Callithrix jacchus: one gene and its partners. The protein of the gene in region 7 binds, or shares a complex with, the protein of the main gene of each other region. Links are inferred from orthologs where the notes say so. Each region holds a gene or a part of one and is shown on either strand. Other genes may lie near its edges. The genes, in order: MED13L, MED12, CDK8, MED23, MED18, MED19 and CCNC.

Region 1 (4,214 bases), on a different chromosome or scaffold from region 7:
TACAGAACTTTAATCTCTTATTTCAATCTAATATGAGTATCTAGGTAAATTCTTTATAAATACCTTCCTCTGCTCAAAAATGAAACCCACAGGCCAAAAGAAAAAAATGCATGCTATTATTAAACACATAGTGTTCTTATAAAAAAACATGCTTTATTTTGAACAAGGAATGATTATATTTCCTTCAGAAGTAACTGTTCTATACAATGTAGTTTAGGCAATGTATTTTTAATATTTCAGGTTGCTGCTGCTGTATAGCATTTTCGAGAAAAAAAATCTCAATTTGAAATCGGAAAAATGTACAAGTCAGCAGTTTAATTAATTCAGTGTTTTAATAGCACCTTATCCACACTTCATGTACAAGAGAATGAAGACATTCCACGTTCCTTTAAAAATATCTATCACCTAAGCACTTCGATGGTTCTCTATTTCAAAGTTGCTACTTAAAAAATAACTTTAAAAAATTAGATTCAAAAATGAATCGTGGTTTTAAAGAGGTTTTGGGAGAAATATCTAAAACACAAACCTTTATAGTCAGTCAAAATCAAAGTATCCTCTCCTACAAATGGGTTTCTCCAAAAGAATCTCAAGCATTTTATCTCTGCACCATTATCATCCTTACTTAAGCTTTTTTTTTTTTTTTTTTTTTTTCAAAAAAAAAAAGATAAAACAAATGGTAAACCCTAAAGACTGGCTATACATACACTTTCATTTGTCTACAGAATCTGTAAATACACAGTCATTACCAGCCAGCATAGTATGTGATAATTTGGGAGATCTCTGTACTTGTTTATTGTAATTACCTGTGTCACTGTGGTCACCAGTCACCACACAAAAACCATTTTAAATACACTTTGATCAGTATGTTTTGCCAATCTATGAAAGTCCCTGAACCTGACTGATACTAAATGACAGACTGAGGAGGGAAAAGAGGCAAAAGAGGTTTCACTCCTACATACCAAAAGATCAAGGGAAAATTATTACAATACTAAGAGAAAGAGTTACAACTTATAATTGAATTTTGAGATTAAATATCTGGATTAAAATATTTCATAAAATTTACCTGATCTTACTAGAGCGGGAGCAATAATAATGTATCACTGGGTCTTTGTAGGTAAAAATCACGTGTTGGTTTTTTGATCTGCATAAATACTGTAACACGTTTAATAAAATAACACGTTTGGAAAGTTGGCAAGAATTTGCATTTCGCCATTAGTCTCATAGAAAAAAAGCATCCATGCCACCCATAATTAAATGTAACTAATTACAATTTGAACACTAAATTATTTATCCAGTGTAAACAAGGATTAAGAGGGAAATAATGCTTCTATCTACAGCGGGGGTTACAGAAAATAATTTCCAAAATGCATGCTCTCCAAAAAGGACTCACCTCCCCCACCCAAAAAAAAACCAGGGTACACAACTTAAAGTAAGTTGGGTGTTTTTAAGGCTAAATTAAATAAACCGTTCAGCCAATTTTCCAATTATATTCTACGCTTGAAACGTAATTGCCTTACATCTGTTTACAAATCTTCGCTCAATATTTAAACAAATTCGTACTCTCCCGGGCACATAGCTATACATACAGTAACTCATGCACAAAGCACATATTTAAAGACCACGCACTGCAATTATTAGCCTAAACGCCAGATTTAACAACGTGAATGTTTTCAGAGGTAATACGACCCAATAAAAAGCAAAGATGGCATTTACCACCAAATGTCACTGCCACCGCCAGGAAAGAGTTGCTGGGTCCCTATACATTTTTAATTTCGATGAATCTAGACGCCGTCGGCGGGTGCCAGGCTTCCACGAGAACAATTGACACCCTAACTGCTTCAAGATTAAGGCAGGCGATTCAAATCCGAAGGAAAAGTTGTCAATTATCAGAGAGAGAGCGCGAGAGGCGAAGGCAGATAAAAGCGATGTTATCAAACCGCCCAGCTTGTTGCTTTTTTGTGTGTGTGTCGATTCGTTGTTAGGATAGAGAAAACAGTTTTTAAAAAGACACCGGAGGAGAGAAAGAAAAAGCTTTCTCCACCTTCCGTCGGCTCGGTGCAATGGCTTTACGGCTCTCCACTGTAGTAAGCCCCGAGAGGCAGGCGGCTGTCGATGTTTACAATCGCGGGAGCTTCGGGTGCAAGAGTCCTTTCCTGACACAATCGCATTCAATCAACTGTTTTCGGGCGGAATTGCAGGTGTCATTATGGAATTTAAAAAAATTCAAAAGGCAGGCGGGCGGGCAGGCAGCCCGATTCGACAAGGGGGGAAGAGGTTGCCGATCGGAGGCGCGGGCAGCACAAGGCAAAGCCTTCCACATTTAGGGGGGAAAAAGGGGGAAAGGGGAGGAGAAGGGGAGTGCGATTGCAACAGAGGGTGGGCGTTCGAAGTGCGACCCAGAATCCGCAGCTCTGAGACTTCCACATGCAAATTCCACGCCGAGCGCCGCGCTCACAAATGATTTTTAAAGAGCCAAATAAACACTGGATGAGATCCAAGGCGAGGGAGAGACGATCCAAAAGGGGGAGAATCGGCGAGAGGCGAACAGCGGGGAGACGCGAGGGAGGGGCGAAGTCCCGGCGGCGGGAGGAGAAAGTTGGTCGGCGGCGGAGGTCGGGGACCCCCCCTCCCCGGCACAGCCCCCTCCCCGCAGCCCGGCTACTCACCAGCGAAAAGAGGTTGGAGTGACAATCCTCCAGGCTCGCCCCGTTCGCCACCCAGTTCGCTGCCGCAGTCATGATCCTCCGCGAGCCCGGCCGCCAGAGCGGGGCATGTCGGAGCGAGGCGTCCGAGGCGAGGTCGGGCCGGGCGGCGGCGCCTCGCCGAGGAGCGCGGGGCGGCCGGGCCGCCGCCGCCGCCGCCGCCGAGGGAGGGCGCGAGGGCCGGCGGGCAGGCGGGAGGCGCCGCGGCGACGCCGCGCCGGGGGCGGCGGGCCCGGGCCGGCGGGGGGGTCCGCGGCGGCCGCGCGGCTCCTTCCTGCTCGGGCGGCGGCGGCGGCGGCGGCTGCGGCGGCTTCGGCGGCGGCGGGGGGCGCTGTCCGCGCGGCCCGGCGCCCTCCCCGCCTCTCAGGGCCGCCGCTGCCTCCCGGGCCGGCTCTGCGGGCCGGCCGCCGCCTCCGCCTTCCCTGCTCCTCGGCCGCCGCCGCTGCTGCCGCTGCCGCTGCCGCCGCCTTGTTTATCTCCAGCCACCGACTCCCCCTCGGCCCCCGCCGGCGCGCGAGGGGAGGCGAGCCCCGGAGCCGCCGCCGCCGCCTCGGAGCCGCCGCCGCCGCGGAGCGCGAACTCGCGAAGGGGGGGGTGCGGACGAAGCCAGCGGGCGACCCCGGCAGCCGAGCGACGTCCCCTCCTTCCTCTTCCTCCCCACCCCCCCCTCCTCCCCAGTCAGCCTCGCTTCTCCTCCCTCCCCGGGCTAGCTCGCTCTGACAGCAATGGCGGCCGCCGACCGCGGCTCGGCCCGCCATTGGCTGGCGCCGGGTCACGTGACGGGCGCCGGCCGCGCGGGGGGAGCAGGAGGCGGGCGGGGGAGGGGTCCGGAGTGGCGGCGGCGGTGGCGGCTCGCGGGAGGCGCTGCTGAGCCGAGCGCGGCCGGGTCCTCAGGCCGGGAAGAGGGAGGGAGGGAGGGAGACGGAAAGGGAGAGAAAGAAGTGCGGGCGGCCGGGCTCCCGGCGGGCCATGGACTGCCGGCCTGTGGCTACCGTGGGCTGCCCCGCGTGGCCGCCCCACCCCCTCGCGGTGCACGGATCGTGGCGGGGCGGGACCATGGGTCCCGGGCGTACCCGGGGCGGCCACGGCGGAGGGCGAGGGTCCCCAGGCCTGTGTCCCCGCTCTCCAGGCCGGCTGGCGTGGCGCGGCGGCCGCTCAGTGGGCCAGGCAGGGGGTCCCAGTGCTCTGGGGAGTGTGTCCTCGAAGGCTCGCGCCGCGGTCCGCCTTTTAGAGAGGAGAAAACTGAAGCACAAAGGGATTAAGTCACTTGCCCGAGATCGCACACCTGGGAAAGAGGAGTCCGGATTCGAACCCGCGCACAGTAAAGCCAAGCTCTTGGACTAGGTTTCACAGGCTTCGCCCAGGGATATTCACGGCTGCCGTAGAGTAAGCGCTCACTGTGTTCCAGGCACTGTGCGTTTAATACGGAAATGTTTATTGAACCCTTACTCCTAGTTACTGTGTGCACTCATTCATTCATTCATTGCTTGTTTCCTGAGCTCCTGCTATAGT
Region 2 (4,021 bases), on a different chromosome or scaffold from region 7:
TAGGCTGGCCTTGAATTTCCGACCTCAGGTGATCCGCCCTTCTTGGCCTCCCAAAGTGCTGAGATTACAGACCTGAACCACTGCTCCCGGCCTTGAATTAATTTTTCTTTCCATTGTGATTCAACAGCATTTTGTTATTTTTGTTACTGGTGTTATTTTTGTTTCTTGTTATTTGTTACTTTTGTTACAGCACACGGCTGTCTTTTCTCTAAAAGGCTCGCCTGTAGTCCCGGCTACTAGGAGGCTGAGGCGAAAGGATGGCTGGAGTCCAGGAGGTTGAGCCTGGGCAACAGAGGGAGAACGTGCCTCAAAATAAATAAATAAATGGCAATACGATAATAGGATATTGGCTCTGGAATCGAAAATCTTAGTGCTGGCTCTGTTACTCAGTAGCTGTATAATATTGGGTAAGTGAATTTTCACACTTTGAAAACCAGCTTCCTCATCCGCAAAATGGAGCCAATAATAATCCCTAACTCCTGAGACTGTGAGGAGATTAAAGGAGATAATGTCTGAAAAGCACCTGACACAGTAGGTGCCCCTTTCGCTAGACCAAGGGTTCTTAACCTGGAGTTCATGGACCCTTAGGGGATACATGGATGAATTTCAGGGGATCTAAGAATCTCCTTGGAAAGTAACATTTTGCATGTCAATATATGCATTCTGAGAAGGTCCATAGCTTTCATCAGCACCTTTAAGGGTTTGTGAATCAAAAAAGTTAGTCTGTGGTACCCTTGGGCAGAAAACACAAAAAAAGGTTAGGTAACTCGATTGTAGACCTTGAGGGATTAGAGCCAGCCTTTCAGGGTTTAATAGGTTCTTTCTTATGCATACATAGTTTCTAATGTTCACAATAGCCCCTTGAAGGAGGTGTTAGCGCACCTATTTTTCAGATGCCAGAACTAAGAAACGAAGTAATCTGTAATAGATGGAGTTTCTAACCAGTGCAAACATTATTTAAAACTTGTCTAGGCCAAAACTGAGCTAGGCTCTGGGAACCGAATTCCAGTCAGAACTCAGCACCACAGAGGCCTCCCTCTTCCCTGGTTTGCATCCCCAGCTCATTCCGCGCCTCCGGAACGTTTCATAGGTTTTTGCTGAGTTAAATCGACTTGCCGCCGCCACCGCCGAAAAGCTCCCGAGGCACAGAGCTCCGCCCCCACCGCGCCAGGCCCCACCCCCTCTGTGGTCGGTATTGTCCGATTGTTCCCGGCGTCCCTCGGCTTCCCTCGGTAGTTTCCGGCAATGGTCGAGAGTTTCTAACGTGCCCCCTTGTCTCTCGGCCGCCGTCCTCCCAACCACCGCCCCCCTTTTCGGCTCCCTCTCCCGGTTCCCGCTCCCCTAGTCAGCCTGGCCCTGCTGGCGCCTCAGGCGCTACGGGCTGGTCAAGATGGCGGCCTTCGGGATCTTGAGCTACGAACACCGGCCCCTGAAGCGGCCGCGACTGGGGCCTCCCGATGTTTACCCTCAAGACCCCAAACAGAAGGAGGTGCGTTCGATAATCGGGGCTCTGGAGGGGCCGGGGGCACGCGATCAGCCTAGGAGGAGGCATTGACGGCCAGGAAGGGGGGGCGGGGCGGTTCGGTGGGAACCAAAGTATTGAAAGGGGGAAGAGTAAAGTGGGGTGGCGTGGGAGGGCAGAACAGGGGGCGGTGGGGGGGTTCCAAGGTATGAATAGGGGGTGATGTAGGGGGCCGCACCAGAGGCGCCCTCCTCCACACACACCTCAGAAAGTTGTCTGAGGCAGCTTGGTGGGGTACGGCTGCTCGCAAGAAAAGAGTGATGTTTGAGGGTGCGTTGGGTGGCTGGGAATCATAGTGACCAAAGGGGTGCGGGTGGGGTCCAAGTGAATGTAAGGGCCCAGCTGTAAGTAACAATCTGTTCTACACGGAACCCTCCTCCCCGCCTGTCCCCTTGTTCCTTCGTTTCTCCTGCCCTCCTCTCCCACCACCTCCCACTAAGGAAAACAAAACTAAATGACGCTTTCCTGCCTCAGGATGAACTGACGGCCTTGAATGTAAAACAAGGTTTCAATAACCAGCCTGCTGTCTCTGGGGATGAACATGGCAGTGCCAAGAACATCAACTTCAATCCTGCCAAGGTGAGACAACTCTGCCAGGCTGAAGGAAAAGGCTGGAAAAATCTGAGAAGGAGCAAAGGCCCTGGGTTGGGAAGACTTAAAGGGACAACCTAAGTGGCTGAGTTTACCTTCATGACTTAATGATATCTCATTGACATTTGACCATCAAAAGGCAGGACCACCTGTCTCCCCTTCTTCTCACCCTGAGGTGCAGTTTTCTTCCCTCAGATCAGTTCCAACTTCAGCAGCATTATTGCAGAGAAGTTACGTTGTAATACCCTGCCTGACACTGGTCGCAGGAAGCCCCAAGTGAACCAGAAGGACAACTTCTGGCTGGTGACTGCACGATCCCAGAGTGCCATTAACACTTGGTTCACTGACTTGGCTGGCACCAAGCCACTCACACAGCTAGCCAAAAAGGTGAGGTACTGTTTCCTGTCCTTCAGGCCAAGGAGGGAGCATGAGGTACCAAGTACCCTCCTATTCCCATATTAAGCTACATGGGTATCAGCTCATGGGGTTAATAGAGACCTCACTATTTGCAATGTCCATCCAGGTCCCCATTTTCAGTAAGAAGGAAGAAGTGTTTGGGTACTTAGCCAAATACACAGTGCCTGTGATGCGAGCCGCCTGGCTCATTAAGATGACCTGTGCCTACTATGCAGCAATCTCTGAGACCAAGGTTAAGAAGAGAAATGTTGTTGACCCTTTCACGGGTGAGTAACTCCTAACACCAGGTATACTGCTGATGGCTTCAAGGAGTGATAGAGACACCCTTGGAACCATCCTCCTTCTTAATCTAGATTCCTTGTTTCTGCTTGTTTCTTGCATTCGCTTGATCAGTAAACACTGAGAAATTTGAATATCTACTTTGTGCCTATACTGGGCTACAAAGATGTCCAGTGCATAATCTCTGCCCCCAGGATACTGGTAGTCTAGTAGGGCTACTAAGACATATGTACAAATAACATAATCAAATATAGAAAGTGGTGAATGTCAAGCCAGGAGGCAGAAGGTTCTTTGAGTGGACAGAAAGATTACTTTCTTATGGGGATACCTGGGAAGGCTTTAGGAAGGTGGGATTTGACTAGAGACTAAAAGGATGAATCACATTTACAAATACGGTGATTGGGGGTGGAGGTACGGTATTCTAAGTAGAAGGATATTCTCATCAGAAGGATAGTATCAAATAGCCCTTTTCCCCTCTTTCCTCCAGAATGGACTCAGATCATCACCAAGTACTTATGGGAGCAGCTACAGAAGATGGCTGAATACTACCGGCCAGGGCCTGCAGGAAGTGGGGGCTGTGGTTCCACGATAGGGCCCTTGCCCCATGATGTAGAGGTGGCAATCCGGCAGTGGGATTACAATGAGAAGCTGGCCATGTTCATGTTTCAGGTAGGGAGTAGGGCATGTTGTGTGGGGCATTGGGTTGAGCCTGAACTTGTACTCTGCCAGCAGAGAACAGAATCTGCCTGCCACCTTGCCCCAGTTGTGGTTCTCTTCATCTTTTCATTTACTTTATCTGCCTCATCTCCAATAGTCCCGTGTTGAGCTAATACTCTTCCCTCCCTGGTACCCATAGGATGGAATGCTGGACAGACATGAGTTCCTGACTTGGGTGCTTGAGTGTTTTGAGAAAATCCGCCCTGGAGAGGATGAATTGCTTAAACTGCTGCTGCCCCTGCTTCTCCGAGTAAGGCTTGGAATTTTGGTGGTGGAGGGGGCAGAGGGAGTCTAGGAAGGATTTGAGGAAGAACAAAATGTTAGAGCAGGGTCCCCTGGGGAGAACTAGGGGCTCTGATGGTCCTGTCTTCACAGTACTCTGGGGAATTCGTTCAGTCTGCGTACCTGTCCCGCCGCCTTGCCTACTTCTGTACACGGAGATTGGCCCTGCAGCTGGATGGTGTGAGCAGTCACTCATCTCATGTTATATCTGCT
Region 3 (3,500 bases), on a different chromosome or scaffold from region 7:
TGAATATATATTCTTTTTTTTTTTGGAGATGGCATCTTGCTTTGCTGCCCAGGCTGGACTATAACAGTGTGAACAGGACCCACTGTAGCCTCGATTTCCTGGGCTTCAGCACCATGAGTAGATGAGACCACAGGTGTGTGCCACTTAGCACAGCTAATTTTTTTTTTTTATTTTTTGTAGAGACAGGGTCTTGCCATGTGGCCCAGGCTGGTCTCAAACCCTCAGGTGATCTTCTTGCCTTGGCCTCCCAAAGTGCTGGGCCTACAAGGTGTGACCTACTACACTTGGCCTAAAACTATTCTTATCATGGGTCAGAACACAAAAAAAATAACTAAAAGTCATAAGAGATGTTAAAATTTATTTCCATACTAATCTCATCTTGTAATAAAGCTCTCATCCATAAAGAATTCTTCCAATATAAGATAATGCCCAATTCAATTATGTAAAATGCAGTCATGTATCACTTAATGAATACATTCTGAAAAATGTATTGTTAGGTGATTTTGCAGTCGTCGAAACATCACAGAGTGTATTTACACAAACATAGATGATAGACTCTACTACAAACCTAGGCTATATGGCAGAGCCCACTGATCCTAGGCTACAAACCTATACATCTTACTGTACTGAATAAGGAAGGCAATGCGACAAAATAGTAATTAAGTGTATTATCTCAACATATGTAAACACAGAAAAGGTACAGTAACAATATGGCACTATAATCTTATGAGACCATCATCACATATGCAGTTCGCAGTTGACAGTAATGTTATATGGTGCATGACTATACTAAATTAAATTAATGCCAATGAAAACAAGAATTAGAATATTAAATCTCAATTGTGAATAGTTAATAATAATAGTTTCCTATATTTGTATGTCTCATTAATAAAATTTTTCAAATACAAGACTGTTCCTCAGAAAAACATTGTAAAAAAAAGGCAAGAAAGTATAACCTTTTATAGATGGGGTAAACTACAGCTTCAAAGCCACTAAAAGATTTGCCTAATGCTGTATGACAAATATCAGTAGAACTATTAGATCTCTCCAAAGATAGTATATTGGTCCTCCTTCATGAGGACACCGCGTTCTCACTTTATATTCTCTTTATACGATGGAATAAAAGAAAATGTTACTTTTATATTTTAGAGCAAAATTTCGTAGTTTTTACAGTTACTTTTTATTTGGTCAAAAACCTGTATGAAGCAATACTGAATACTTGTTGAACACTCTTTAGAGTCCCTTGTTTTCTTTAGTATCTGTTAAAAGATCAAAGTGACAAGACTGAAGAGTAATAATACAAATCCAAATACTCTAGCTTTGGTAATGCCACCAACCACATTCTGTGAGGTTACTTTTATTTTAAAAACATAAGTCTCATAATAAGCAGAACACCTAATTGTTTTTAGTTACTCTTAACAATCCCTGACTGGAACCAATCGTTCAAGTCTGCCAACAATTCACCTTACCCAGAGGTCATGTTCAGCGTAGTCAAACAGAAGCCACACCTTCCTATCGGCATGAGAGAGAAACACCTTTTGAAGAGAAATGACGTTTGGATGCTTAAGCTCTCGAAGTAACTGCAAAACAAAGGAGATCCATTAACAATTTCTGCCACAAAATAGTGTTAAAAAACCCACACCATTTGTAATTCAAAGGCAATATAAACCCCAGGAGATCAATCTTAAAAATCTAATAAGCGCCCATACAATTTTGAGACCAATGCTTCAGTAACAAATGAGAAAAAATCTGTGAGAAAAAGACACTGAACAGGTATATCTGAGTAAATCTATTTTGTTGTTGTTTGGTTGGTTATTTTGTTTTAATTTTTTGATTGTCGTAAAATATATATAACATAATAATTACCATTTTAACCATTTTTAAGTGTACAATTCAGTGGCATCCTTTAAGTAAATTCACAGTGTTCTGCAATCAACACCACTATCCATTTTGGGCTTCTTTTTTTTTTTTTTGTCATCCCAAACAGAAACTCTGAATCCATTAAACCAGTGGTCTCCAACCTTTTTGGCATCAGAAACCAGTTTTGTGGAAGACAATTTTACCACGGACAATGGAAACGGACAACGGGGTACAAGGGGGTGGTGGTGGATGGTTTTGGGATGAAACTGTTTCACTTCAGATCATTCACTAGGCATTAGATTCTCATAAGGAGCACAAAACCTAGATCCTTCACATGCGCAGTTCACAATAGGGTTCGAGCTCCTATGAGACTCTAATGCCACTGCTGATCTGACAGGAGGCAGAGCTCACGTGGTAATGCTTGCTTGCCTGTGGCTCACCTCCTGCTATGCAGCCCAGTTCCTAACAGTACCAGTGCTGGCCCAGAGACCCCTGCATTACACAATAACCCCACTGCCTTTTTCTCCAGGCCCTGGTAATTTTTACTCTACTCTCTGTCCCTAAGAATCTTCCCAATCTAGGTATTTCATGTAAGTGGAACCATACAATATGTATCCTTTCATGCCAGGCTTATTTCACTTAGCCTAATATCTTCATCCATGATGTAGCGAGTATCAATTTCATTGTTTACAGGTAAATACATTCCACTGTAAGCATATGTATACATATCACATTTTGTTTATCCATTCCTTTATTGATCTTCATGGGTTGCTTTCACCTCTGGTTATTGTGATTAATGCTGCTATGAACACTGGTATACCACTACCTGCAGAAAGTCCCTGCTTTCCATGCTTTGAGCATAAACCTAACAGTGGAAAACGCAGATCAAATTATTGCTCTATGTTTAACTTTTTGAGAAACCACCAAACTTGCAGCTGTAGTATTTTACATTCCCATCTGCAATGCATGAGGGTTCCAATTTCTTTATATCCTCACCAACACTGGTTATTTGTCCCTTTTTGTCCTTAAAAATTAACATATATCCTAATGCGTATGAAGTAGTATCTCACTGTGGTTTTGGTTTGCATTTCCCTAGTGACTAATGGTGTTGAACATCTTTTCCTGTGCTTACTGACCACTTGTAGATCATCTTTAGAGAAACGTCTATTTAATAAGTCCTTTGCCCATTTTTAAATCAGGTTGTTCTGTCGTTGCTGCTGAGTTGTAGGAGTTCTTTACATAGTCTAGATACTAATGCCTTATCAAATACATGATTTACAAAACTTTGTCCCATTCTACGAGTTGTCTAGGCTTTGACATCACATAACAATTGAACTTAAATCTGTAGTTTGTAATCCCTTTTAGAAAATATCAAAGATTATTTGCAACATTAGAAGATGCAACATTCATTAACACCAATGATAACATGAAAATTAAATTTTGCAACCCTATAAGATACAGTACCTAATTTCAGGCATTTAAATTACATAGTAAAGTTGATTAAAATTTTGTAACTTTTCATAAAATAACAAAGAACAGAGAGAAGCATCCAAGGAGAGCATATTTTCATGGGTTTGTGCTTTCTCCTCTCATAAAAGAATATTATTTTATTTAAAATCTTTTATCTCCTTATTTTATAA
Region 4 (3,500 bases), about 33 Mb from region 7:
CTATGCAACTGTCTTGCATGTTCTGCACATGTACCCCAAAACCTAAAATACACTACAAAATTAAAAAAATAATAAGTATATGAGGTAACCTATATGTTAAATAGCCTGATTTAGCCATTCCACAATGTATATATATATACACAGACAATTGCTACTTGTCAATTAAAATAAAATGTAGAGATATTATTTTGTGGATTTATTGGGTTTCAACTGTAGCATAAAAGAATACATATGTAAAAAATATCCAAAAGTAAAGATTAATAAACAATGGAATGGATTGTTCATCGTTAGTAAAGAACCTTAAACATGCTTTAAATATTGGCATACTTACATGGGAGAGCAACAGACCAATGTAACAATTCTTGCAACATTAGTTACAAAGTACAAAGATCTTTTAAGTGGTCCATATGCTGAGGTCTAGTAATGGTTCAAGCTATTTTAATTTCTAATACCATTGTTTTCCTAATTTAAAACCATGAATTAAAATTTAAAACGTCCTTCTGAAATATAAGGGAATTAGCATCTTTTAAAATAGAAGTGATTTTTTTTTTTGGTAGAAGAAATATCATAAGTATTAAAAGCACAGACCTAAACAAAGGTAGACTTTTTTGAGGTTATGATCAATGAATTTCAGACATGTCTAAATTACCTCTCTTGCTGCCAGAAGCTGCTGTACAACAGCAGAGCTCACTGTATTAGGAATTGTCAAAATTTTCTCCAAAATCACTTTTAAGAGGTCTCGAACACCCTGATATAAGAAAAAAGACATGGGTTAAAATTAAGTAGTGTCTACTGTGTTAGACACTAAAAACATCCAAAGGTTTCAGGGTTATAGATTCCTTCAAAGTCACATCCTTAAATTTTCTGAATCAGTTACTATCTAAGTCCGTAACATTAACCCAAGAGAAGAGTCATGTTCCAAAACAGAATTCTAAACATTGTCTTACAATACAATGAACAAAGAAAGTCATTATACAGTTGGTCAAGCTTTTTTGGTCCTCATAACATTAGAAGGGTTTCCATTGTTATAAGAGTCAAAAATCTTAATTTATTCTACATACAGACAGAAATATATTAGAACAGGACTTTAAAGAACTCTGAAAACTTGAATAACAATATTGAACTTTTTGGTAGATGACTCTCTCTGCTCACTCCCTTTTGTGCTAGGATTACAGGTGTTAGCTACTGTGACTGGCCTATTCTCCCTTCTCATCCATCACATACCTTAATCTCTCAAGGATATCCAAGGCTATTCTGTTAATCATCTCCACATATCTAATACCAGTTACATTACTCTGATATATATAGAAAAACTTCCAATCAACATGCATTTATTATGCGCTATGTAACCAAGCTTATAAAAGACATAACATATACATAAAATAATAATTATAAAGTACCATTCAAATAAGAAGGCAAAAATTGCTTAAGTCTGAGTAGAGAAAATAATCAGCAAAAGCTTCTTAGAGTTAACTGTGTGATAAATCATGATTAAAACTATTAATTATCTGTCAGGTCATTATATGTTAAGTCATTTCAGATTAGAGAAAACACAGAAAAAAAGCACAGGGTCAGGTACTGGGTAATTCTTGGAAAAAGGACAATAACAAAGTCTCCTGAAAATGCAGAATGCTTTTGTAGCTATGGAGTCCGTAAGCCGTTTATGAGATAAAATTAGAAAGTGTATGTTGTTTTGGTCAAGAACCCAAGTGCTAAGGATTTTAGTTGAGGAAAAACAGTTGTTTTAGTTGTGTCCAAGGGAGGTCAAGTTAGAGGTGAAGCAGGTCTTGCTTCCTTCATCAGTGATGCTTCTGTCCCTTCTCTGTTCCACACACCCCTGCTCTGTGCTCTTTCATTTGAAGAGATGCTAACATCACAATACTTGCAGCATGAAGGAATACAGATTCTGCTCTGTGACTTCCCTAGTCTTCATAAAAATATGTCAGCCACCTGTATTTATAAGAACATTGAGAGGGGAGTAGAGGAGCCATGGGAACACTGAGTAATTTTAAATCTCTCCAGGAAATATACCACAATAGACAGATTTTGTAAATGCTTCCACATCATTTCACTCACCTGAAAGTAAGATAGGCATACCGAAAAATCAATCACATCTGAAAGCAATCACTTTTTATAATGAGAAAAATATACCTTGTAATCCACTCCCCCAATTATTTTCCGAACCAGCTTAAATGTTAAGGCCCAAAGCTGTGTTCTTTCCCATTCAAGAGTGTCTGAGTTTATCAGGGATTCACAAACCAGCCTATAAAAAAGAAACAGCCATTCCAGTTACCAGACAGAATTTTCCAAGTTCTCTAATAGCCACTGATATGGTTTGGCTGTGTCCTCACACAAATCTCATCTTGAATTGTAGTTCCCATAATCCCCATGTGTCATGAGAAAAACCAGGTGGAGATAATTAAATCATGGGGGCAGTTTCCACCATCCAGTTCTCATGACAGTGAGTTAGTTCTCACAAGATCTAATGGTTTTATATGGGGCTTCTTCCTTTGCTGGACACTCATTCTCTTTCCGGCCACCCTGCGATGAGGTGCCTTCTGCCATGACTGTAAGTGTCCTGAGGTCTCCCCAGCCATGCTAAACTATGAGTCAATTAAACCTCTTTCCTTCACCAATTACCCAGTCTTGGGTATGTCTTTGTTAGCAGCATGAGACAGACTAACACAGTTAAAATCTGTGGACTAAGTATTATATTTATCATAGCAAGTATTTTTCACAAAAGTGCATTATTACTTAAGCACACTTATAAATATGTGTAGCATTTAACATATTTTACTTATATAAAAGATCAAAAACAAAGACCTAAATAATATTCATTATGCTATATTTTTACTAGAAAGACGTCTATCTAAAGTTTTCAGTTACATGTTTACCATCTATCCCCTTGGATTTTTCCAAGAGGGTGGCAAGATTTTTGATCCCACATTTTCTTCTCAAGTGTGACACTGACATTTCTCCCAAGGAGAGATGGGGGAAGGTCTACGTTATCTAACTGTAGATCTGAGAAGGCCTAAGACCATGGCCAAAAGGATACAGTATGACTTCCATGACAAGGTGAGACAACTTCTGCCTAGTCTTCTTTCATACACTTGCTGTTAGACTCCACCATGAAGTGAGAAAGTCGAAGCTACAAGGCAAAGGCCTGTGTAGGTTCTGGCTAATAATCTCCGCTGAGATTCCAGATAACAGCCAGGAACCAACCACCAGGTATGTAAGTGGGTAAGCTTTTCCTACGCCCCAGTGCTGGCTACATCAATTGTCATCATAAAGACTTTGAGGGAAAAGTGCCTCATTAGCCCAGTCAACCACCAGGGCCACGAATAATAATTTTAAAACCTGAGTATTACTATTTTAAGCCATTAGGTCTTGAGGTTGTACAGCAAAAGTAAAGTGTTACAAACTAATCAAAGTGATTAATCTTAGCCCCTGGGCAAAAAGGCACCTGGTTTTGAGTTTACAAGCATTTATATAAGTCAAAG
Region 5 (2,976 bases), on a different chromosome or scaffold from region 7:
ATATGCTGAAACCCCAACTTGAAAAAAAAAAAGAAGAAGAAGAAAATTAACTTTACTTGCAGTGAGCCAAGATTGTGCCACTGCACTCCAACCTGGGCGACAGAGCGAGACTCTGTCTCAAAAGAAAAAAGATGACACAAATGTCACATAGGGAGGAAAAGAGTATTGATACAAGAGAGGACTAATATTGAGTCCTAGTCCTCCAGTGTTTAGGGAAGATGAGAAACACCAAGCAAAGAAGACTTAAAAGGAATGGTCAGCGAGTTAAGTGAAGAACCAAGAGAGTTGTGTCTCAGAGGCCAAGGGAAGAATAGATTTCACAGTGGGTATAATCTACTATAACAACCATTTCAGATGTTGCCAAGGGGATGAAGATTCTATGAAGCAATTAATTCTCTCCTACTTAGATACAGAAGAGGAAAGCTTTTCCTGATAAAAAGGAAACTTTAGCTGGGCGCGGTGGCTCACGCCTGTAATCCCAGCATTTTGGGAGGCCGAGGTGGGCAGTTCACGAGGTTAAGAGATCGAGACCATCCTGGCCAACATGGTGAAGCCCCATCTCTACTAAAAAATACAAAAATTAGCTGGGCATGGTGGTGCATGCCTGTAATTCCAGTCACTCAGGAGGCTGAGGCAGGAGAATCGTTTGAACCCAGGAGGCAGAGTTGCAGTGAGCTGAGATCATGCCACTGCACTCTAGCCTGTGACAGAGCGAGACACCATCTCAGGAAAAAAAAAAAAAGGAAACTTTATATTTCTTCTATAAATGAAAGACTTTTATTTGTTGGAAATTGAAGGCAATTGTTAAAGTATATGACAACAAAATAGTGTTATTGGCTGGGCATGTTGGCTTACGCCTGTAATCCCAACACTTTGGGAGACCAAGGCCAGGAGTTCAAGACCAAGCTGGACAACAATGTAGTGAGACCCCATTTCTATAAAAGCAAATAAATAAATACATAGCTAAAACAGTATTATTAATTTTTTTTTTTTTGAGATGGAGTCTCACTCTGTTATCCAGGCTGGAGTGCAATGGTGCGATCTCTGCTCATCAAAACCTTCACCTCCCAGATTCAAGTGATTCTCCTGCCTCAGCCTCCCGAGTAGCTGGGATTACAGGCACGCGCCACCACACCCAGCTAATTTTTGTGTTTTTAGTAGAGATGGGATTTCACCATGTTGGCCAGGGTAGTCTCAATCTCCTGACCTCAGGATCTGCCCACCTCAGCCTCCCAAAGTGCTGGGATTTCAGGCATGAGCCACCATGCCCAGCCAGTATTATTACATTCTAGATAGACACTGTAGCTGATTAAAGGCTCTAAGTCCAAGGCATGTTGGAAATTAGCATTAGAGAAGGCCTAAAGACTTTGTAGTACTAAATAAGAAAATTCCAAAAAATTGAAAAGGAAAATAATAACTGTCTCACAACGTTATACAATATTTTGCTAGTGTAACTCCTCTAAAATCTCATGTGTTGGCCCTATGTGTTGTGAAATGCTTCACTAAACTGCTTTGGTTTTTCATTTTAATTTTTTTCAATTTTATGCTAATTCCATGACCTAAAAGGAAAGATAGGACTCAGAGGTGCTTTTTCCCTTTTCAGGAAGTGTTTTAGATCACAGTTTGGAAAGCCTCATCCACCGCCTTCGTGGTTTGTGTGACAACATGGAACCTGAGACTTTCCTTGACCATGAGATGGTATTCCTCCTTAAGGGCCAGCAAGCCAGCCCATTTGTTCTAAGGGCCCGACGCTCTATGGACAGGGCAGGGGCACCCTGGCATCTGCGCTACCTGGGACAACCAGAAATGGGAGACAAGAATCGCCACGCCCTGGTGCGAAACTGCGTGGACATTGCCACGTCTGAGAACCTCACCGACTTCTTGATGGAAATGGGCTTCCGCATGGACCATGAGTTTGTTGCTAAGGGACACTTGTTCCGAAAGGGCATCATGAAGATTATGGTTTACAAGATTTTCCGCATCCTGGTGCCAGGGAACACAGACAGCACTGAGGCCTTGTCACTTTCCTATCTCGTGGAATTAAGCGTAGTTGCACCCGCTGGACAGGACATGGTTTCTGATGACATGAGGAACTTTGCAGAGCAGCTAAAACCTCTGGTTCACCTAGAAAAAATAGACCCCAAGAGGCTCATGTGACTAAGAGAATCTCTCCACATTTGGGGCCTGTCCTTACTTGTTTGAAAAAATGTTTTAAATGCTCCATTTCACCACTGCCAGCATTCTTCCTTCAGGGAGGAGGATGCCTCGTGATGATTTCGTTTTCATGACAGCCTTTCTACATTAAAGGCTCAGGACATCACAGAGAATCTATCTAATCCCACTGTATAAAGAGGAGAAACTGGAGTAAATTAGGTTTTGGAAATAAAAATTTCTTGTTTGGCCATTTGTGTGTAAGGTTTATAACATTAGAGGCTGTGAGCTTGTGCTATATGGTAATAAAGGCAGTGGCCTCGAATTTTGTTTAGGAAGTCTTTATTTACCCCTAGGTAACACAGATTTTCCTTCTTAGCTTTATAGTTTTAACTTTCACATTGAGATCTTTAATTCATCTAGAGTCCATTTTCTAGGGGGTTTATAAAAACCCAGGTTTCTTCTCCTGGCAGTGAATTCGTTTTTCTACCACCATCCAAAGAACAGTGTTCAGTGCTTTGTGCTGCTACCATTGTCACATAGGTTTCCATGTAGGTATTTTATTTTTAAGTTCTCCATTTCATTTCATTTTTTTTCTTTGTTTCAGTGACAGCAACACAATGTTTTTATTATTAAGGCTTTATAGTAGAGCCAGTTCTACCAGTAAGGCAGGTACCCTTCCCTTTTTGTCCTCTAAAATGGACTTACAGTGTAGTGTAGTAATATTTCAAAAAATAATAATAAAAGAAAATAGACTTAGCATCCAGGTATGGTGGCTCATGCTTATAATCCCAGTACTTTGGCAGGCAGGACAAGAGGATTGCT
Region 6 (3,945 bases), on a different chromosome or scaffold from region 7:
TCAGAGTACCATACCAATATTTGTTATTATTTCCCTCAAGTCATGATGTGGAAATAAGACTTGAGATAATGAAAGGCATCTTGGAGACCTAACATGTCCAGAAAACTTGATTTCCACCTCTTCAAACTTGTTCCTTCCTCATCTTCCAAGTCTCCATACCCATACACCTAATTATTCAAGGTGAAAACTTAAGAAGACATCATTCCTTCACTTTACTCTCTCCTTCACTTCTTCCCCTATTATCCAGGCTGGAGTGCAGTGGTGCAGTCACGGCTCACTGCAGCCTCAACTTCCTGGGCTCAAGTAATTCTATCACCTCAGCCGCCTAAGTAGCTGAGACTACAGGCACACATCACTATGCCTAGCTAAATTATATTTATTTTTTGTAGAGATGTGTCTCATTATGTTTCCCAGGCTTGTCTCAAACTTTCGGGCTCAAGATATTCTCCCACCTCGGCCTCCCAAAGTGTTGGGATTACTGGCATGAGCCACAGCGCCTGGCCCTATATTCAACTTTTCATCCCCATCAGCTCTACCTCTAACATCCTGTATCCATTTACTTCTCTATGCCCTGCTATGCCCTGGTTTGAACCATCATCTTTCCTGGACTATGAGTGGTAACCTCTGACTTCCCCACTTTCTATTTGTCATGTGGCTGCTTGAATGATTATAAATAAGTAAATCTGACCAAGTTCCTGTGTTAAAATGGCTTTCCTTGGCTGGGCACAGTGGCTCACGTCTATAATCCCAGCACTTTGGAAGGGCAAGGCAGGAGGACTGCTGTTGGCCAGGAGTTCAAGACCAGCTTGGACAATACAGTAAGACCCTATCTCTACAGAAAAATTTTAAGTTAGCCAACCATGGTGGCACATGCCTGTCGCCCTAGCTACCTGGGAGGCTGAGCTGGGAGGACAGCATGAGCCCAGGAATTCGAGGTCACAGTGAGCTATGATTATGCCACTGCAGTCCAGCCTGGGTGACACAGTGAGACTTTGCCTCTATAAATTTTTTTTTAAACGGCTTCCTTTGGTATTTGCCATCTAAATGCCTTTATTACTTTATAAAGGCCTCTGCCTAACTCTCCCACCTTTCCTTTTGTCTCTCTCTCCTAAGACTCTTTCCTTTCGTTCACTTCACTGGAGTCCAACTGATTTTCTGTCCCTCAGATATTCTAAGCGTTTTCTCACATCAGGGTTTCTGACCTCATTACTTGTATCTAGTATTATCTCTCCCTCCTATCCATCCATAGCTGGCCCTTTGTCTATGCTTATATTTTAGTTCAAATGTTAGCTACATGGAAAGAGCATCTCTGGTCACTCTAACTAAAGTAGTTCTGCCCTCAACATTTTTTTCTTTTGAGAGATGGTCTCATCTGTTGCCCAGGCTGGAGTGCAGTGGCACTATCTTGGTTCACTGCAGCCGAAACCTCCTGAGTTCAAGAGAATCTCCTCCCTTAGCCTCCCCAATAGCTGGGGCTATAGGCACGGACTGCCGTGCCTGGCTATTCTTGTATGTTTTGTAGAGACTGGGTCTCGACATGTTGCCCAGGCTGGTCTCAAACTCCTGGACTCAAAGGATCCTCCTGCCTGGGCCTCCCAAAGCGCTGGGATTACAGGTGTGAGCAACACGCCTGGCCCCTTTCAATTCTTTATCATGTTTTCTCCTCCTAGAATTAATCACTCTCTGATATAATCTTGTTTACAATGCCTCCTCCACTGACATGTACATTCCAAAAAAAAGCAAGCATCTTGTCAGTCTTGTTCATAACTGTATCTCAAGCATTTACAAAAGTGCTTGGTACATAGGAACTCAACAAAATTAATTTTTGAATGAAAAGAGTTTGGTTTGATTCTTATCCCTTCTTAGAACAGACCAGGAAACGCCGGAACCTTAGAAGGAATAATGGCAACTTGCCCCAAACCAACAGCAAAATTAAAACTTTGGGTCCCCAAAGATATTAAATCAGGCCTCTCAAGTTCCTAACTGAAACCCTGGATCTCCTGGATCTTTTGTTTTTGAGAGGGAGTCTCGTTCTGTCGCCCAGGCTGGAGTGCAGTGGAGCAATCTAGGCTCACCGCAACCTCCGCCTCCCGGGTTCAAAGCGATTCTCCCGCCTGAGCCACCTGAGTAGCTGGGATTAAACGTATACGCAACCATGCCCGGCTAATTTTTGTATTTTTAGTAGAGAGGGGGGGTTTCATCATGTTGACTAGGCTGGTCTCGAACTCCTGACCTTAGGTGATTCGCCCGCCTCCGCCTCCCAGAGTGCTGGGATTACAGGCATCAGTCACCGCGCCCAGTCCTGGATCATTTTTTTAGGGAGACATAAACCAGTGTCACGGAGATTCACCGTCCCTCTCCCCCGCCGTTTGGTTGAATTCAAGTCATCCCTCTGCTTGTGAATCCTAACAGCGCTTCCGACTTATGGCTCCACAGTCCGAGTCTGTCTTTCTTAGGTTACCTGGCACCTCCGCTAGCCGGCTGAGAACCACGCCCATCACCTCCTCTCTAAGATTTGATTGGCTGGCTTTGGCAAGGCCGTGTACTCACCTGGCAGTTCCCTCATTAGGTAGAAAGGGCCACAGCCAGCTCCTGACTTGTCCGCGCCGGGAGGGGCCGTGGCTGCGGTGGGAGGCGGGGCCGTGCCGGGACCCCCGCCTGGAGGAGGTGGTGGCGGGGGTGGAGGCTTTCCTGGTCCGAAGCCGAGTGCGGTTGGGGGCGGTGGTGGGTCAGCCTGAGCCCCGAACAGTGCCGTGAAATTCTCCATCGTCCCCTCCGCCTCGGCGCTGCCTAGATGTCTGGCGTTGGTAATTTTCATTGGACAATGCTTTTAAGGGTACCGCCCTCTTTCTCAAGGAGCCTCTTGTCATTGGATGCCTCAGGCACCGCTTACCTTGTTTCAGCAACTACTTCCGTCGCCTTATGAGAACGTTTAGAAAGTGCTATTTAACCTTATTAGATTCTTCTGCTAGCTTCGTTTGCTACAGTCCAATAAAATGACTTAGGTGGATAAAGCGACAACTAGACTAACCAATAATATGTTAAATTCTTATTTGGGTTCTGACCTACCACAGCGTCCAGAGAGCTACATCCGGATTTAGAGGCGGTACATTTGAGATACGGCCCAATAGCAGTCTCTATGGTGAGGGAGGCGGGGCCAGACCTACAACGCCAATGAGCCCCGGCCCTAACGGCCAAAAAGATGGCGATCCTGGCACCTCTAATTGCTCTGGTGTATTCTGTGCCGCGACTTTCACGATGGCTGGCCCAACCTTACTACCTTCTGTCGGCCCTGCTCTCTGCTGCCTTCCTACTCGTGAGGAAACTGCCGCCGCTCTGCAACGGTCTGCCTACCCAACGCGAAGACGGCAACCCGTGTGACTTTGACTGGGTGAGCGTCCCGCGTCTTAGTACCCCGCGACCTTGACTGGGAACCCTGGGCTTTCCCTTTCTGAGGACACTTGAGGTTCCGAGCCTGTAGCGGACTTACAAACTATTAAGTACAGGGTCCGGACCATCATCAAGTCAGCGAGCGGCCCAACAGCTTCTGACTGCGGAGTCCAGGTTTCTTTCCATTTCACCATTCACACTAATCAACAGCCCTATGAAAACTCTACATAGACGTGTACAGCGTTTTACAGTGCCGCTCATTAAGTAAAGCCTCCTGAGGAGCCAGTAGGTAGACAAGGGAAGTAGTAATGTTCTTGTTTCATTGGTGAAGAAATGGATCTCGGTATATTTAGGCGACTTGCCCCAGATCACACAACTAATGAGTGCCTGGGACTTGAAACTGCTCTTCTGGCCACACTAGCTGCACACACTGTCAGCCGTTTCTTAATTCAGTAAACATTTCTAGAGTGTACACTCTAGGCACTCTGCTGGATCGTGAGGATGTGAAAGTGGATAAAATTTTGGGGCGATTGTAAAGGAATTGTAAAAAAAAAA
Region 7 (3,500 bases):
TGTCAAAGCATCAGCAGTGGTAAAACATTGGGATAATTAGGGTGCCTATTTAAGATTTTCCCAATATACTAGTCAATACAGTTGATACAAATGAGATATAGAAAGAATGACAAAAGAATAACAAAATTATCAATATGTGGAAATAAAATTTATGAGAAAACTCAGTTAATTGAAAAGTTATTCAAAATAATAAAAGTTTAATCAGGTGACCAGTTACAAAATGCAAAAATAAAAGCTTTTTAAAAATGAATGGGCTGGTCGTGGTGGCTCACGCCTATAATCCCAGCACTTTGGGAGGCCGAGGCGGGTGAATCACGAGGTCAAGAGATCGAGACCATCCTGGTCAACAAGGTGAAACCCCATCTCCACTAAAAATACAAAAATTAGCTGGGCATGGTGGTACACACCTGTAGTCCCAGGTACTTAGGAGGCTGAGGCAGGAGAATTGCTTTAACCCAGGAGGCACGGAGGTTGCGGTGAGCTGAGATCGTGCCATTGCATTCCAGTCTGGGTAACAACAGCGAAACTCCGTCTCAAAAAAAAAAAAAAAAAAAAAAGACTGATAGGAAAGTATAATTTACATTAGCAACGGAAAATATAAAATACAAAGGGAAAAATATGAGGAAATATACAGAAGCTGTAGGAAGAAAACTTTAAAACATTGTGGCACGTAGAGATTTCAATAGACTTTGAATTCTCGGTAAGATGTCATTTCTCCCTATGTTGATCTTTAAATGTAATTCAGTCACAAAATTTGAATGGATATTCTTTGTTAGGACTTGACATAATGCTTCTAAAGTTTAGGTCTCAGAATAACAATTGCAATAGGATAGTCAGAAAATTTCAGAAGAATAGTAGCAAGGGAGTATTTTTCATACCAGCAATTACTTACTTAAGTTTCTGTGTTTTAAAATAGCACAGCATATGAACAAGAAAAACAAAAATAGGAAATTATATATAATGATAGAACTATAAATCAGGATATACCTTAGCACATTTGGATAATCATTTGACAAAATGTTTAGCTGGATCCTTACTTTATACTCTGTACCAAAATTCCAGATGGATCATATAAATTGAAGGAAAAAAGCCCCTAAGGGTATTAGAAAACATGGGTGAATAGTTTTTTATCATTTTGGAATCAGGGAAGGACTTTTTATGCCTGACAAACATGAAAGTAAAAGACAGGTAGATTTAAGTAAGTAATTCAGCTTTCTCTATTATAAATAATTAAATACTGAGAGATATTTAAACTTGGGAGAAATTTTACAGTTATTTGACAAGCAAATGACTTATCCATACTATACAAATTTTATATCAAAAGACTCTCTTAATCATTAAAAAAATAAGTAATCACATTAGAAAAATGGTCCTATTAGAATTAACATTGTATAAAAGAAGAACTGCATTTGAACAGTGAAGATATGGAAAAGATGTTTAACCTCAAAAGTTAACTACAGGGGAAAGAAACAGTGATATACTACTTTGCCTTTAAGTTACAAAGTATTTAAAATTGGCAGTAACCAATAGGATTAAATATTTTAGGATTCACTCATAAACTGTTAATAGAAATGGAAATCAGTATAATGTTTTTGGAGGGTAAACTGACAATGTGTGTCAATAAGTTACCAGCAACACTGACCCATTAATTCGACTTCTGGGAAGTTATTTCAAATATATTATTAATCAAATGGGCAAGGAAAATTACAATGATATTTATTAAAGTATATTTGTAACAGAGAAAAAATGATAACCTATATTTCCATCAGTAAAGATTGGCTAAGTGATCCATCCATAAAGTTATGTAAAAGAATGCTGAATAACAAGTTCCTTGACATAAGACTTCCAATAAGTATTGAATGACAAGGTTCAGCATAGTTTTTTCTTTGAGTCATGTCAATTTCATATCTCCAGTTAAAAATAGTACACTCGACTAAGCAAGAGGAGGAGGCTATCAGTGTAACACATTCTGAGGCAGTTTTTAATATAATTAGATTTGTGAAATAAGGAAATTAAATGCCATAGTTACTTATGAACAGCTGAAAAACTATATACTTCAAACGTAAGCCACCATCAATTGGTGCCAAATAATTCTACCATTATCTTATATCACTAAGAAAGAATAAACATGCTGCCAAGCGGGGCATGATGGCTCACGCTTGTAATCCCTGCACTTTGGGAGGCTGAGGCAGGCGGATCCCCTGAGGTTGGGAGTTTGAGACTAGCCTGACCAACATAGAGAAACCCCCATCTCTACTAAAAAATACAAAAATAGGGGTCCAAAGGGGCTCCTGCCGGAGGTCGTGACGCTTGCGAAGGCGAGGTCATGAGTTCAAGGCTAACCGGAGCAACCTCATAAGCTCAAATTGATTGGCCAAAAAAAAAAAAAATAGCTGGGCTTGGTGGTGCACACCTGTAATCTCCGCTACTCGGGAGGCCGAGGCAGGAGAATCACTTAAACCCAGGAGACGGAGGTTGCAGTGAGTGGTGATCGTGCCATTACACTCCTGCCTGGACAAAAAGAGCGAAACTCTGTTCAAAAACAAACAAAAAAACATGCTGCCAATTACAACACAAAGGCATCACAGATTGTAAGACATATTTTGGTATCAGAGTCTTAGAATCAATGAAATATAAGTTTGTAACAGAAAGACTAAGGAGGAAGAAGGAAAAGATTAGAGCAAGTTTTTTCAGTACATATTTACATTTATTAGTGAGATATTATTCACCTAATTGACTTTAAGGTTACTTTTTGCACTTTGTGCTTCTCAGAATATGAACAACCTGTTCAATCAGAGTGTTTTCTCTGACTTTGCTTGTTGATTTTCTGTAACATGTCTTTTCTAGTTTGCAATGGATTTTGGATAAACAAGATCTGTTGAAGGAGCGCCAAAAGGATTTAAAGTTTCTCTCGGAAGAAGAATATTGGAAGTTACAAATATTTTTTACAAATGGTAAACTTTTTAAGAAATTGGTTAAAATGTTATAGTTGATTACCTCTGAATTAAAATGTTTTTGTGTGGTAATTTGTGAGCTATTTTAGTCCATACCTAACATTTTTATTTATACATGTATTTTTTTTTTTTACAACTTTTTAGTGATCTAAATAAAGATTTTTTGGTGTGAATTTTACATGTCACAGGCACTCAAGACAATTTGAAAGTATTACCTAATCTCCCTCAGGCTTTATAATAATTATTAGATGCAGTTCAAGGTTGGCTAAAGCAAAGTACTTTGACTTTGAGGATAAATGAGTCTTTGGATTGACATCCTATAGTGGACATTTCTATCTTAGAACTTTGTTTTGAAGGGAAGAAGATTTAGGGATAGGTCTTTGCTTTGTAGTAAGTCTGTCATAATTTTTTTTAACCTTCATTTCACTGTTTTGTAAACATTTCTCTGTTTTGAGGATTTATTATGGATTTTTTTTTTTCTTGGTGAACTGTATAAAGTGGTAGTATTAGCTGGGTGTGGTGGCTCACACCTGTAATCTTAGCACT

Evidence for each region.
Region 1: CCNC (region 7) and MED13L share a complex: the UniProt entries of both Homo sapiens proteins name them as parts of the mediator complex. The link is inferred for Callithrix jacchus from reciprocal best matches to the Homo sapiens genes CCNC and MED13L.
Region 2: the proteins of CCNC (region 7) and MED12 are in contact, whole or in part, in a cryo-EM structure (PDB 8TQC), measured with the Homo sapiens proteins. The link is inferred for Callithrix jacchus from reciprocal best matches to the Homo sapiens genes CCNC and MED12. Residues at the interface, in NP_005181.2 of Homo sapiens: Gly3, Asn4, Phe5, Trp6, Gln7, Tyr11, Ile15, Asp17, Gln19, Asp20, Lys23, Gln49, Glu53, Leu57, Arg58, Gln59, Ile62, Tyr153, Arg157, Pro158, Gln161, Tyr162, Asp165, Leu173, Pro174, Trp177, Arg178, Ile179, Asn181, Asp182; in NP_005111.2 of Homo sapiens: Ile6, Leu7, Ser8, Tyr9, Glu10, Pro13, Leu14, Lys15, Arg18, Leu19, Pro22, Asp23, Val24, Tyr25, Asn47, Pro49, Ala50, Val51, Asp54, Glu55, His56, Gly57, Ser58, Ala59, Lys60, Phe64, Pro66, Ile69, Asn72, Phe73.
Region 3: the proteins of CCNC (region 7) and CDK8 are in contact, whole or in part, in a crystal structure (PDB 5CEI), measured with the Homo sapiens proteins. The link is inferred for Callithrix jacchus from reciprocal best matches to the Homo sapiens genes CCNC and CDK8. Residues at the interface, in NP_005181.2 of Homo sapiens: Met1, Ala2, Gly3, Asn4, Ser8, Ser9, His10, Gln13, Phe72, Tyr76, Lys79, Ser80, Ile81, Asp82, Leu85, Leu93, Lys96, Val97, Glu98, Glu99, Phe100, Gly101, Val102, Tyr130, His134, Leu136, Glu137, Glu139, Phe140, Tyr141; in NP_001251.1 of Homo sapiens: Met1, Asp2, Tyr3, Asp4, Phe5, Lys6, Leu9, Arg13, Gly58, Ile59, Ser60, Met61, Cys64, Arg65, Ile67, Ala68, Leu69, Arg71, Glu72, Leu73, Val84, Leu86, Ser87, His88, Arg91, Lys92, Val93, Asn145, Trp146, Val147.
Region 4: CCNC (region 7) and MED23 share a complex: the UniProt entries of both Homo sapiens proteins name them as parts of the mediator complex. The link is inferred for Callithrix jacchus from reciprocal best matches to the Homo sapiens genes CCNC and MED23.
Region 5: CCNC (region 7) and MED18 share a complex: the UniProt entries of both Homo sapiens proteins name them as parts of the mediator complex. The link is inferred for Callithrix jacchus from reciprocal best matches to the Homo sapiens genes CCNC and MED18.
Region 6: CCNC (region 7) and MED19 share a complex: the UniProt entries of both Homo sapiens proteins name them as parts of the mediator complex. The link is inferred for Callithrix jacchus from reciprocal best matches to the Homo sapiens genes CCNC and MED19.

What each region holds. Positions count from the first base shown.
Region 1 is NC_133510.1:119,303,266-119,307,479, forward strand, and holds the start of MED13L (mediator of RNA polymerase II transcription subunit 13-like), read right to left. Parts: upstream 2,801-4,214; 5' UTR 2,739-2,800; coding exon 2,667-2,738; intron 1-2,666. UniProt on the Homo sapiens protein: Component of the Mediator complex, a coactivator involved in the regulated transcription of nearly all RNA polymerase II-dependent genes.
Region 2 is NC_133524.1:68,398,451-68,402,471, forward strand, and holds the start of MED12 (mediator of RNA polymerase II transcription subunit 12), read left to right. Parts: upstream 1-1,221; 5' UTR 1,222-1,390; coding exon 1,391-1,489; intron 1,490-1,996; coding exon 1,997-2,101; intron 2,102-2,308; coding exon 2,309-2,500; intron 2,501-2,636; coding exon 2,637-2,796; intron 2,797-3,296; coding exon 3,297-3,478; intron 3,479-3,665; coding exon 3,666-3,776; intron 3,777-3,901; coding exon 3,902-4,021. UniProt on the Homo sapiens protein: Component of the Mediator complex, a coactivator involved in the regulated transcription of nearly all RNA polymerase II-dependent genes.
Region 3 is NC_133506.1:145,522,819-145,526,318, reverse strand, and holds part of CDK8 (cyclin-dependent kinase 8), read right to left. Parts: intron 1,581-3,500; coding exon 1,470-1,580; intron 1-1,469.
Region 4 is NC_133505.1:138,270,974-138,274,473, forward strand, and holds part of MED23 (mediator of RNA polymerase II transcription subunit 23), read right to left. Parts: intron 2,264-3,500; coding exon 2,152-2,263; intron 749-2,151; coding exon 650-748; intron 1-649. UniProt on the Homo sapiens protein: Required for transcriptional activation subsequent to the assembly of the pre-initiation complex. Component of the Mediator complex, a coactivator involved in the regulated transcription of nearly all RNA polymerase II-dependent genes.
Region 5 is NC_133508.1:65,007,660-65,010,635, forward strand, and holds the end of MED18 (mediator of RNA polymerase II transcription subunit 18), read left to right. Parts: intron 1-1,603; coding exon 1,604-2,157; 3' UTR 2,158-2,476; downstream 2,477-2,976. UniProt on the Homo sapiens protein: Component of the Mediator complex, a coactivator involved in the regulated transcription of nearly all RNA polymerase II-dependent genes.
Region 6 is NC_133511.1:115,289,779-115,293,723, forward strand, and holds the start of MED19 (mediator of RNA polymerase II transcription subunit 19), read right to left. Parts: upstream 2,801-3,945; 5' UTR 2,768-2,800; coding exon 2,551-2,767; intron 1-2,550. Other genes in the region: TMX2 (thioredoxin-related transmembrane protein 2), read left to right, coding at 3,203-3,391. UniProt on the Homo sapiens protein: Component of the Mediator complex, a coactivator involved in the regulated transcription of nearly all RNA polymerase II-dependent genes.
Region 7 is NC_133505.1:105,604,484-105,607,983, reverse strand, and holds part of CCNC (cyclin-C), read left to right. Parts: intron 1-2,847; coding exon 2,848-2,954; intron 2,955-3,500. UniProt on the Homo sapiens protein: Component of the Mediator complex, a coactivator involved in regulated gene transcription of nearly all RNA polymerase II-dependent genes.